Saccharomyces cerevisiae S288C: one gene and its partners. The protein of the gene in region 3 purifies or fractionates together with the protein of the main gene of each other region. This does not show direct contact. Each region holds a gene or a part of one and is shown on either strand. Other genes may lie near its edges.

Evidence for each region.
Region 1: the proteins of RTS1 (region 3) and TPD3 purify together in Saccharomyces cerevisiae (affinity purification with mass spectrometry; 6 studies listed by BioGRID, with this or other methods). This does not show direct contact.
Region 2: the proteins of RTS1 (region 3) and PPH22 purify together in Saccharomyces cerevisiae (affinity purification with mass spectrometry; 3 studies listed by BioGRID). This does not show direct contact.

Annotation. Positions count from the first base shown.
Region 1 is NC_001133.9:122,841-127,289, forward strand, and holds TPD3 (protein phosphatase 2A structural subunit TPD3), read left to right. Parts: upstream 1-2,038; coding exon 2,039-3,946; downstream 3,947-4,449. Other genes in the region: serine/threonine protein kinase PSK1, read left to right, coding at 1-1,455; bifunctional N-glycosylase/AP lyase NTG1, read right to left, coding at 4,063-4,449. UniProt on the Saccharomyces cerevisiae protein: Phosphatase 2A affects a variety of biological processes in the cell such as transcription, cell cycle progression and cellular morphogenesis, and provides an initial identification of critical substrates for this phosphatase.
Region 2 is NC_001136.10:123,258-126,854, forward strand, and holds PPH22 (phosphoprotein phosphatase 2A catalytic subunit PPH22), read right to left. Parts: upstream 1,742-3,597; coding exon 608-1,741; downstream 1-607. Other genes in the region: RBS1 (Rbs1p), read left to right, coding at 1-332; YDL186W (uncharacterized protein), read left to right, coding at 2,359-3,192; VMA1 (H(+)-transporting V1 sector ATPase subunit A), read left to right, coding at 3,530-3,597. UniProt on the Saccharomyces cerevisiae protein: Exact function not known, phosphatase 2A performs an essential cellular function.
Region 3 is NC_001147.6:355,951-360,513, forward strand, and holds RTS1 (protein phosphatase 2A regulatory subunit RTS1), read left to right. Parts: upstream 1-1,723; coding exon 1,724-3,997; downstream 3,998-4,563. Other genes in the region: YOR012W (uncharacterized protein), read left to right, coding at 593-1,006; YOR015W (uncharacterized protein), read left to right, coding at 4,043-4,402; ERP4 (Erp4p), read right to left, coding at 4,511-4,563. UniProt on the Saccharomyces cerevisiae protein: The B regulatory subunit might modulate substrate selectivity and catalytic activity, and might also direct the localization of the catalytic enzyme to a particular subcellular compartment. Multicopy suppressor of ROX3 and HSP60.

The DNA of each region.
Region 1 (4,449 bases), on a different chromosome or scaffold from region 3:
CATTCGAGAGACGTGGTATTTGAAGAATATAATACAAATCCATCTCAATTGAAGATGCTGAAGGAGAGTGAATTAAGTTTAATGAGCAGTGCAAGTAGTTCTGCCAGCTCTTCCAAAAAATCTTCGTCTAGGATATCCACCGGGACATTAAAGGACATGAGTAATCTGTCAACATATGAGGATTTGGCCCACCGAACGAATAAGCTTAAGTATGAAATCGGAGATGATTCTAGAGCACATTCTCAATCTACTTTGTCCGAGCAGGAACAAGTTCCCCTGGAAAACGATAAGGACAGTGGCGAGATGATGCTTGCAGACCCCGAAATGAAGCACAAGTTAGAATTGGCCAGAATTTACTCAAGAGATAAATCTCAATTTGTGAAAGAAGGAAATTTTAAAGTTGACGAAAATTTGATTATTAGCAAAATTTCACTTTCCCCAAGCACTGAATCCTTAGCAGATTCTAAAAGTTCTGGGAAAGGGCTTTCTCCACTTGAAGAGGAAAAGCTAATTGACGAAAACGCTACAGAAAACGGATTAGCGGGATCACCTAAAGACGAAGACGGAATCATAATGACTAACAAGCGAGGAAACCAACCTGTTAGTACTTTCCTACGCACCCCCGAAAAGAACATCGGTGCTCAAAAGCATGTTAAGAAGTTTTCGGACTTCGTAAGTCTGCAAAAAATGGGTGAAGGTGCATATGGTAAGGTCAACCTATGTATTCATAAGAAGAATAGGTATATTGTGGTGATTAAGATGATTTTTAAAGAAAGAATCCTTGTAGATACATGGGTTAGAGATAGGAAATTAGGCACTATACCTTCTGAGATCCAAATTATGGCCACGTTGAACAAAAAACCACATGAGAATATTTTACGGTTACTGGATTTTTTTGAAGACGACGATTACTATTATATCGAAACTCCCGTACATGGTGAAACAGGATGTATAGATCTTTTCGATCTAATTGAATTTAAAACCAACATGACCGAATTTGAAGCAAAATTGATATTCAAGCAGGTTGTAGCGGGAATAAAACATCTACACGACCAGGGTATTGTTCACAGAGATATCAAGGATGAGAATGTTATCGTAGATTCTAAAGGCTTTGTTAAGATTATTGATTTTGGATCTGCTGCGTATGTCAAAAGCGGACCATTTGATGTTTTTGTTGGGACAATAGATTATGCTGCCCCTGAAGTCTTAGGAGGAAACCCTTATGAGGGCCAACCACAGGATATTTGGGCTATTGGTATTCTATTGTATACGGTGGTCTTCAAAGAAAACCCCTTCTACAATATAGATGAAATATTAGAAGGCGACCTGAAATTCAATAATGCAGAGGAAGTTAGTGAAGATTGCATTGAGTTAATCAAGAGTATTTTGAACCGTTGCGTACCGAAGAGACCCACCATTGACGACATAAATAACGACAAATGGTTGGTTATTTGAAGGATTAATGATCATTCTAGGACATTAGTAATTGGAAAAGAAAATGCAAAAAAATATCCAGTAGAAACAATGCTTGGTATGTCGTTCTTCTTACTTTCTTCAGTAATGAGTTGGTAGTTTTCTCTATTTAAATATGAATAAATCAATATGTACTTTCTTTCTTTAATCAAAATGTTAATATGATAAAAATACAGCATCCAAAGCAGTTAATCAAGACTTAAATATAAAAAATTTACATATTTAGAAAACAAAGATAGGGTAAATATTGAAATTACATAGTAAACCATACCTTAAAAGCAGAAATACTGATACCACATGAACTATTGATCAATACTACTGCTATTCTCTTCCTAATGCAAAGAGCTTATTACCATTATTAAATCACTACAGACGATAATACCCGGAATGCCCTTTTTGCAGGGAAAGCGAAAAAGGTGAAAGAGTTAACAGGAGAAAGTGTTAGGGAACTAAGTTACGAAGGAAGGCAGATAGCAACAATACTAACGTGGAACTTATTTCGACGACTATAACAACTGGTATCTGATTATCGAAGAATAATTGAGTGGTCAGAAAGGAGCGAAATATGTCTGGAGCAAGATCAACAACGGCAGGTGCCGTGCCCTCGGCAGCAACAACATCAACAACATCAACAACGTCAAACTCTAAGGACTCAGACTCTAACGAGTCATTATATCCCTTGGCTCTGCTTATGGATGAGTTAAAACATGATGATATTGCTAATAGGGTAGAAGCCATGAAAAAACTAGATACCATCGCGTTGGCACTCGGTCCCGAAAGAACAAGAAACGAGTTGATTCCCTTTTTAACGGAAGTTGCACAAGATGATGAAGATGAGGTGTTTGCCGTTTTAGCCGAACAGTTAGGAAAATTTGTCCCCTACATTGGCGGTCCTCAATACGCCACAATCCTATTACCAGTTTTGGAAATTTTGGCATCTGCAGAAGAAACTTTGGTTAGAGAAAAGGCCGTAGATTCTCTGAATAACGTGGCCCAAGAACTTTCTCAAGAACAATTATTTAGTGACTTCGTCCCTTTAATTGAACATTTAGCTACTGCAGATTGGTTTTCTTCAAAAGTTTCTGCTTGTGGTCTTTTCAAGTCTGTTATTGTTAGAATCAAAGATGATTCATTGAGAAAGAATATCCTGGCTTTATACTTACAACTCGCTCAAGATGATACTCCAATGGTGAAAAGGGCCGTCGGTAAAAACCTGCCCATCTTGATCGATCTGTTGACTCAAAATTTGGGATTATCTACAGACGAAGATTGGGATTACATTTCTAACATTTTCCAGAAAATCATTAACGATAATCAAGATTCTGTCAAGTTTCTGGCAGTTGATTGTTTAATTTCCATCTTGAAATTTTTTAACGCTAAAGGTGATGAGTCTCACACTCAAGATTTATTGAACTCTGCTGTCAAATTAATTGGTGACGAAGCGTGGAGGGTACGTTACATGGCTGCCGATAGATTTTCAGATTTAGCCTCGCAATTCAGTTCCAACCAAGCATATATCGATGAATTAGTACAACCATTTTTGAACCTTTGTGAGGACAACGAGGGAGATGTTAGGGAAGCTGTGGCTAAACAAGTTTCTGGGTTTGCCAAGTTCCTAAATGATCCTTCAATTATATTGAATAAGATCTTACCTGCTGTGCAGAATTTGAGTATGGACGAAAGTGAAACAGTGAGATCTGCTTTGGCTTCTAAGATTACAAATATTGTATTACTGTTGAATAAAGATCAAGTCATTAACAATTTTCTTCCGATTTTACTGAATATGCTAAGAGATGAGTTCCCTGACGTTCGTTTAAATATCATTGCCAGCTTGAAGGTTGTCAATGACGTAATAGGAATTGAGCTGCTATCAGACTCTTTGTTACCTGCCATAACAGAATTAGCCAAGGACGTGAATTGGAGAGTTAGAATGGCTATAATTGAGTACATACCTATCTTGGCAGAACAATTAGGTATGCAATTTTTTGACCAACAGTTAAGCGATTTATGTCTTTCATGGTTGTGGGATACTGTTTATTCTATCAGAGAAGCCGCAGTGAATAATTTAAAAAGGTTAACGGAAATATTTGGCTCTGATTGGTGTCGTGATGAAATTATTTCAAGACTGCTCAAATTTGATCTACAATTACTGGAAAATTTTGTCTCGAGGTTCACAATACTCTCTGCTCTAACCACTTTGGTGCCCGTGGTATCGTTAGATGTCGTTACTGAGCAACTATTACCATTCATTTCTCACTTGGCTGATGACGGTGTTCCAAATATTAGGTTTAATGTGGCCAAATCCTACGCTGTGATAGTGAAGGTTTTAATTAAGGACGAGGCCAAATATGATGCATTAATTAAGAACACAATTTTACCCTCATTGCAAACGCTGTGTCAAGACGAAGATGTTGATGTAAAATACTTCGCTAAGAAAAGTTTGGCAGAATGTCAAGAACTTTTAAAAAATTGATACTAGTTCAAATATATACATACATACACATATGTACACTTGAATGAATAAAAAGTATACATATTAACAACTAGGCCTGCTTTCTTTTCTTTTCTTTTTTTTTTTTTTTACCACACTTAGTCCTCTACTTTAACAGAAATATCATTTTCCAGTTTGACCATAGTTTCTTCAACTGTTTTCTCCTCGTGTTTAACATTGATTTCCGCCTCCACGTTCAGTTCACGTTTTCCTTCCAGGTATTTCACCCACTTTGGATAACTCATGATATTTTGCTGGATTTCCTTGTACAATTGAGACTGCAAATCCCAATCTAAGGAGCTTCTGGGATCATCCGGTGGCAAGAATTGTAACATGTCACCAAGGTTCCTCGATTTAGTGATTATTTGTCCAAATCCAACCAGCAACCCATTTATTTCTGTCCAAAGCCCCTTAGGCAGCCAATTTTGTAATTGAGTTCTTGTCTGATCTGGAGTCTTGCATTTCTGCGCATCTACCCATTTCCA
Region 2 (3,597 bases), on a different chromosome or scaffold from region 3:
ATATGAATCCCCAAGGGTCCTGTTCGTTTGGCACCCCAATCCCTATGTATCCCCCATACCAATATCAATATCAATACCAATATAACACTCAGTATCACAGCGGGCCATATAGCAATACACCAAGCTATAATTCTAACAATTACACAAGATCCTCAGCAAATAAGTACCACCATTTTCAAGGAAAAAATTCATATTCTGGTGCGATTCCGAAACGTAGTGATGACAGTAACAGTAATAAGAATGAGGGAATTCGTAGGGCTAGTGTTGAGGGTTCGCCGTCATCTAGGGATACTGATTCGGTAGAGATGAAATTTGATAAATTAAACATTTAGCGTGAGGAGTGAACTATACATAGCGAAAAAATTACGTAACGGTTTATAGAAATTCTAGTATGAGAACAGTAATATATGAGAAAAAGTTGTTTTCACTTTGTGTTCGAAAAAATAAGTATTTGAAAACGAAAAAATAGTTTGTATGTTTGTATATAAGTTGTTATTATCAAAAATTAGAGGGAAAAAGTAACTAAATATATATTAAAAAAAAAAAAAAAATAAATGTATGTTGGAATGAAATAGCGTAGTAAGGATAAAGGTGTAATAGATATATATTATAAGAAATAATCCGGTGTCTTCCTGGTGACGGTTGGTTCACCGGGTCTCACAGATGGATCGTATTGTAAGAATTGCCTATTATGGTTTTCATCCACCTCCATAATAGCGGCCTGGTTACCACATCTATAACAATAATTTGGAGCACTGAAAATGGTGACAACATTTTGCTGGTGAGACCAAGAATATCCTTCCATTACCAATTGGTGAGCTCTTGCTATTAGTGATAGGTCATTAGTGTGATTGAATTGCTCACTGATGTCTTGACCAAAAGTGAAGCCTGCACCTCTCGGACTGATTCCCCATCCGCCTCTATCATCAGGATCGGACCATAGAAGGTCACACATTGGACCTTCGTGAGGCACTTCCTGTATTCTATTTAAATCTCTAACTTGATCTATTGTCTCTATCATGGGTGAGAGACCTCCATGCAAACAGAAGATTTTATTATCCACCAAGGCAGTAACGGGGAAATAATCGAATAGATCGGTAAACATTTTCCACACGTTCGCACTGCCGTACTTTCTCAAACATTCGTCATAAAACCCATATACTTGGGTAATCTGCCTAGACTCGTGATTGCCCCTAAGTATAGTAATTCTATGTGGATATCTGACTTTCATGGCAACTAGGTAAGATACGGTCTCAACAGAATAATATCCTCTATCCACGTAATCACCCATGAAAAGGTAATTGGTGTCAGGACAAGGACCACCAATCTTGAAAAGTTCTAACAAGTCATGGAATTGACCGTGTACGTCACCACAAATGGTAACAGGCACGTTAATTGGTTTAACATTCTCCTCGAACTGCAACACGTCCACCGCCATTTTACATAGTCGTGCTACATCGTCTTCTGATAGTGGCTCGCATTTACTCAAATGCTCAATCCATTGGTCAAGCTGATTTATATTTGTATTGGTCAGTTTTAGTGGTTTGGAGGATTTATGATCTGCTATACCCGAGGACCCCGGTTTAAAATTAAAATCTTCCAACTCTTCATCTGTGTCTTCGTCATTAGAACGCGCCTTCGTATTATTTTTGCCGTCATCACTATTCATGTCTTCGTCGAGAGTCGGTGATAATTGATCTTCATCTGAACCATGCATAGGGTCATCAATTTCCATATCCATTTTTTTCGAATGAAAGCCAGTTATACAGAAGTGCCAATAATATAAAATTCAAAAAAAGACGTAACAGGAACAATAACCGGAAAGGAAAGAGAGCAGGTAGGACAAGAAGTAAACGGGTTTGCGTGTTCTTGTTCGAACACTGTTTTGCAGCGGGCTGGTACCTTAAGAAGTTTGCTCTAGTTACAGCCCTTCAATTGGTTTTATAAAATGGGGATGTCCCTTTGAAACTTTCCACGACTCTTTTCCACAATTCAGCGGAAAAGAAAATAATAACCTCTTCTAGATTACCCGGTCATGTCAGGGTAATACACGATTGTATTTCAAAGTGCACAACGACTATTGTTGTCGTATAAGCTTTTGGATTAATCTTAGCATTAATTGATACATAATTCCGCAAGAAGAAGTTTTAGGAGAATAGAGTTTCGCTTCTTTTATTAATATTCTGTCCTGTGTCACAAAATATTGTAATAATTTGGTGCGGTGTATGGGTTCAAGTTCCCAAAAAAACAACTAATTTGCGACACTTCGTAGTTCTGTGCTTTTATATGGAATATACTTGTGGACTCTATTCCTGGATGTAGATTTGCTTACAGATAGCCAAGAAATATTAGAAAAATATGCAGTGTAACACAAGTATAGAAGATGGTTTAGATGGGGGCGACATAACTTTCCCATCCTACAGCCCTGAAGCGGAGGCTCAAAACAGATTCTTACCAAGAAGTGAGTTCCCCTCTGTGAGGCAACTCGTGATTTCGAAACAAAAAAGCAGAAGAAGAAGAGAAGAAAATGTATTTGTGGGAAAAATGGAGGACGTACTTGTAAAATGGAGGCCACCTGCATCTTCACATCGTGGCGCAATTGAAGCTATTAATGGCACGCATCCATATCAGCTTAGCACAGCACAATTCAACTCGAGAAGATCGGATCCATTTGGTTCAACAAAGAGAGATGAATCCGTGCGTTCCATTGTAGAATCGTTTACCGATTGGTGGAAACGCAATTCCAAAATGTTTTTTCGTGACGAGGAAGAAGGTGTACGAACCGAACACAGTGCGAGTCAAGATGACCAAGAGTTGCAGCTTTTCGAAGAAGATCTCTTCTCATTTCACCTAAGCCCAAATGATATGTCAACCAGGAACAGCGAACATCAAGTGCAAACACCGGTGCTTTTCCCGTACGAAGCTCCTACTCGAACAAAACAAAACCCAGCAGAAAGAAAAGTCATTGAAATTGGGGACGGCGAAGAACTCTCTATCTATCGAGATGTTTATTCCAATCCTATTCCTGTCAGCTACCTAGATACCTTAAACTTGAACCACTCCATGTCTGTACGGCAAACACAACAGCAACAACAACAGCGGCAACAGCAGCAGTATGTAGACTCTTCATCGGCATTTCAATGCTGTACAGACTCCAATTGGGCGAGAATATTTTTTTGCCACCACGATTAGACTCCACTTTGCTTCTATAGTCCTATCTATTGTTCTTTTTATTCCTAGCATAACCTTATTGTATTGTTCTTTTTCTTTTTCCTTTTTCTTTTTTTTTTTTTTTTTTTTTTTTTTTTCACATCTTTTTCCACGGCCGCTCAAAGGGGTCTCACACTGGATTAAAAGCTGAAAACAAGAAATGGCTCTTTCGATAAGGTTGCAACATTTTGATTACTACGTTGATTAGAATAAAAAGTACCAAACACATTTCTCAAAGCATATAGATATCTAAGATTATAACGCAGGAGTCGTTCTTTCATTCTTAGAGTTAAAAAGCAAATAGAGAAGAAAAGAAACAATGGCTGGTGCAATTGAAAACGCTCGTAAGGAAATAAAAAGAATCTCATTAGAAGACCATGCTGAATC
Region 3 (4,563 bases):
AAGTCGTCTTTACCTTTCTATCATCTCGTCGCATAATTATTAAATTAACTCACAATTTCTCACAATTTATATCATGCCTTTTTTGTCAGTTCGTGGCCTTGCCAGTGGAGATATAACAACTACTTCGTAAAGGGTCCCGAAAGAAATGAAAGAATTACTCATTTGATATAAAAATTTGCATGGTATAACAGAAGTGAAACGCGGGGACAACCATGATCTTTTTTGAGTAGGATAATTTTTTATGTCGGTTTGATATATTATAAAGCAAGTCATATATAATATCATACTGATTTTAACCAAACGATAATCAATCAGAAAAAGAAAATAAATAAAAAATCTAGCACATAGTATTTCAGTACCCTTATGGTTCTGACCTCAGAAATTATTCAGCCGCTTGTTATCTTATAGTACGTTTTATATCGTAATTTTCCTGACATTTTGGGCAGAAATCCTTTACTCCTGATATAATAAACGACGTTTTTTTTCCTGTGTTTTTTATGTTACTATAAGAAATGCAAAAAAAGAAACAATAGAAAAAGGCAGTGACAAAAATACTAATCAGAACGTTGAAAACAAATCAATAGTTTTGATAATGGTAGCATCATCGATCAATGAAGAATCCTCTTTGGCGGTAAACTTGACAAGCGATGTAGAGAAGGCTTCGAAAACTTTGTTTAAGGCATTCGAAAAGTCATACGCAAATGACTACTTGATGAAAAAGTTCTTCCATATCCCAATCACTGAAAAAGTTTCAAGGGCAAGAATAAATGCAATGATACATTACTACACGACGTGCTACCATGACTTGGATGGTGAAATTGCTGAGGCAAATGATTTCGATGCAGTCGCAATATGGAGCCGCCCTGGGTGCCACTTGCCTGCTACACTATCTGACGACGAGTCTTTCAATAAGATTTTTTTTTCACGACTTGACTGTGAGGAAGCACGAAGTCATGCCTCTGGGAATGGACTATTACTACCTTTATGCCATCGGAAAAGATCCTAGCCATCCCGAAATTAGAGGTTCAGTCAGAAAAATACTCGAAAAATATAAAACCAAAGCAGACAAGGCCAATTGCGCCCTTGCTCTCGAGGCTATTTCGGAGCACGCAAGATCTGTGTACGAATATTTCGGTTTCAAAACCTATTTGGTGTTTCAGTTCGGGGTTGGAGAAGTGAACTCCAAAGGAGAACCCGATCCGCAGGGGAAGGGATTCACGGCCTACTTGATGCTCTACCACAAAGATGCAGACACCATCTTTCACGCCTGATTTTCTTCTAAAAATTTTATAGACATTTATTGTATGTATGGAGCATATAGCAACAATAAAACTTAGACCAACATTTTTTGCCGGGTCACAACCCCCTATCCCGGCTGCGAGAAAGGAAAAAAAAAAGTATCAGACAATTGATTATCAAAGAGTATGTGAAACTACGCTTTGTTTTCCACTTCAATTGGTAGGCATGTCAATACGTCTCGTTTCTTCATTGGAAAACTCTTCATTTCAAGGATAAACCATCGTCGCCGTAAGTATTTTGGGTTTCATTTCCTTCCCCCCTCGATTTTGCTTTTTTTTCCTTTTTTTGTTAGATAAAAATATAAACCCTTCTCCATATACCTGTTCACCTCAATACCGTCTTTAACTGGCTTTTTTATTTTGTATAAAAGTTCTACTTATTAAGATCAATAGGCACGTGCTATTTTCGAACATCCACTTTCAATATGATGCGTGGTTTCAAGCAAAGATTAATAAAGAAGACCACCGGGTCTTCTTCTTCTTCAAGCAGTAAAAAGAAGGACAAAGAGAAGGAAAAAGAAAAAAGTTCCACTACCTCATCCACATCAAAGAAGCCCGCTTCGGCTAGTAGCTCTTCCCACGGGACTACTCACAGTTCTGCCAGCAGTACCGGATCAAAGTCTACAACTGAGAAGGGCAAGCAATCTGGTAGTGTTCCCTCGCAAGGGAAGCATCATAGTAGCTCTACATCAAAAACAAAAACAGCGACGACCCCTTCTTCCAGCAGCAGTAGCAGTAGAAGTTCAAGTGTCAGTCGCTCCGGTTCAAGCTCCACAAAGAAAACAAGTTCAAGAAAAGGACAAGAACAGTCCAAACAATCGCAACAGCCATCACAATCTCAAAAGCAAGGATCTTCTTCATCATCTGCCGCTATAATGAACCCCACTCCAGTACTCACTGTTACTAAGGACGACAAAAGCACTTCTGGTGAAGATCATGCACATCCTACTTTGCTGGGGGCAGTATCCGCTGTTCCATCATCTCCCATTTCAAATGCTTCAGGTACAGCAGTTTCTTCTGATGTAGAAAATGGTAATAGTAATAATAACAATATGAATATTAATACTAGTAATACTCAGGATGCAAACCACGCCTCCTCACAAAGTATCGACATTCCGAGATCATCACACTCATTTGAGAGACTACCAACACCCACAAAACTTAACCCTGACACAGATTTAGAGTTAATTAAGACTCCCCAACGTCATTCTTCATCTAGATTCGAGCCATCTAGATATACGCCATTAACGAAATTGCCAAATTTTAATGAAGTTTCTCCTGAAGAAAGAATCCCTTTGTTCATTGCCAAAGTTGACCAGTGTAACACTATGTTTGACTTTAATGATCCAAGTTTTGACATTCAAGGTAAAGAGATTAAAAGAAGCACCTTAGATGAGCTAATAGAATTCCTTGTAACAAATAGGTTCACTTACACGAATGAGATGTACGCTCATGTGGTGAACATGTTCAAAATCAATCTGTTTAGACCTATTCCACCACCAGTAAATCCAGTTGGTGACATTTATGACCCAGATGAAGATGAACCTGTTAACGAACTAGCCTGGCCTCATATGCAAGCTGTTTACGAATTCTTTTTAAGGTTTGTGGAAAGTCCTGATTTCAATCATCAGATTGCTAAACAATATATTGATCAGGACTTTATTTTAAAGTTACTGGAATTATTTGATAGCGAAGATATCAGAGAAAGAGACTGTTTGAAAACGACACTGCATAGAATATATGGGAAGTTCTTATCATTAAGAAGCTTTATTCGTCGGTCGATGAATAATATTTTTTTGCAATTTATTTATGAGACTGAGAAGTTTAACGGTGTGGCAGAATTGTTAGAAATTTTGGGTTCCATAATTAATGGATTTGCACTTCCATTAAAGGAAGAGCACAAGGTTTTCTTGGTGAGGATATTGATACCATTACACAAGGTCCGTTGTTTATCATTATACCACCCTCAGTTGGCTTACTGTATCGTTCAATTTCTCGAAAAAGATCCTTTATTAACCGAAGAGGTAGTTATGGGCTTACTGCGTTATTGGCCAAAAATAAATTCCACAAAAGAGATAATGTTTCTAAATGAAATCGAGGATATTTTTGAAGTGATCGAACCGCTGGAATTTATTAAAGTAGAAGTTCCGTTATTTGTTCAATTAGCTAAGTGTATTTCTTCTCCACATTTCCAAGTGGCGGAAAAGGTTTTAAGTTATTGGAATAATGAATATTTCTTAAACTTATGTATCGAAAATGCCGAAGTCATCCTACCCATTATATTTCCTGCATTATATGAATTAACTTCTCAGTTAGAGCTAGATACAGCAAATGGCGAAGATAGCATTTCAGACCCTTACATGCTTGTTGAGCAAGCAATCAATTCTGGTTCGTGGAATAGGGCAATTCATGCTATGGCATTCAAGGCATTGAAAATTTTTCTGGAAACAAACCCAGTATTGTACGAAAACTGTAATGCATTGTACTTATCAAGTGTAAAAGAAACTCAACAGCGTAAGGTGCAACGTGAAGAAAATTGGAGCAAACTTGAAGAATATGTAAAAAATCTAAGGATTAACAATGATAAGGACCAATACACAATCAAAAACCCAGAATTAAGAAACAGTTTCAACACAGCAAGTGAGAATAACACATTAAATGAAGAGAACGAAAATGATTGTGACAGCGAGATACAGTGAAACAGCAATTCATTACAAGCTCGAAGAAGTGAGGAAGTTTAGGGCATGCCACATTTCAAAAGAGCAGCAGTATATGAAGAGCAAAAAAGAACTGGTAAATGGGGTCAACTTGTTGAAGAAACCAAAGATAGAATCCCCGAATATTCGAACAAAACTATAGCAAAGATAAGCCACTTGGACAATGGTTGTTTGTGGCCTGAGATAAAGGTCTCTTTTTCTCATCATTTGAGCATACTTCAATCGATGTGTCTTCATTTTATTATTTCTATACTTTTCTCCAAATATATCTTCGTTTTTCTTTTCGCTTTCCTTCTTCCTTCTGCCTTTCCTCTATTTATTTTGCACTCCACTCTTTTCCGTAAACCTTGCCTATCTATTATTGGATTTTTGAAAACTAAAGTATAAAGGTATGTCATAAATAATTAAATAACAAAAAAAATAGGATCATGATACAAAAAAGTGCCTTCCCCTTAGCACAGCTGATCCAACAATTTTAAGAGCTTGAAAAGCAACCTATACGTAGTTTTTTTGGCGACTGGTAAAAAAGAACTGAATAATTAATGCCT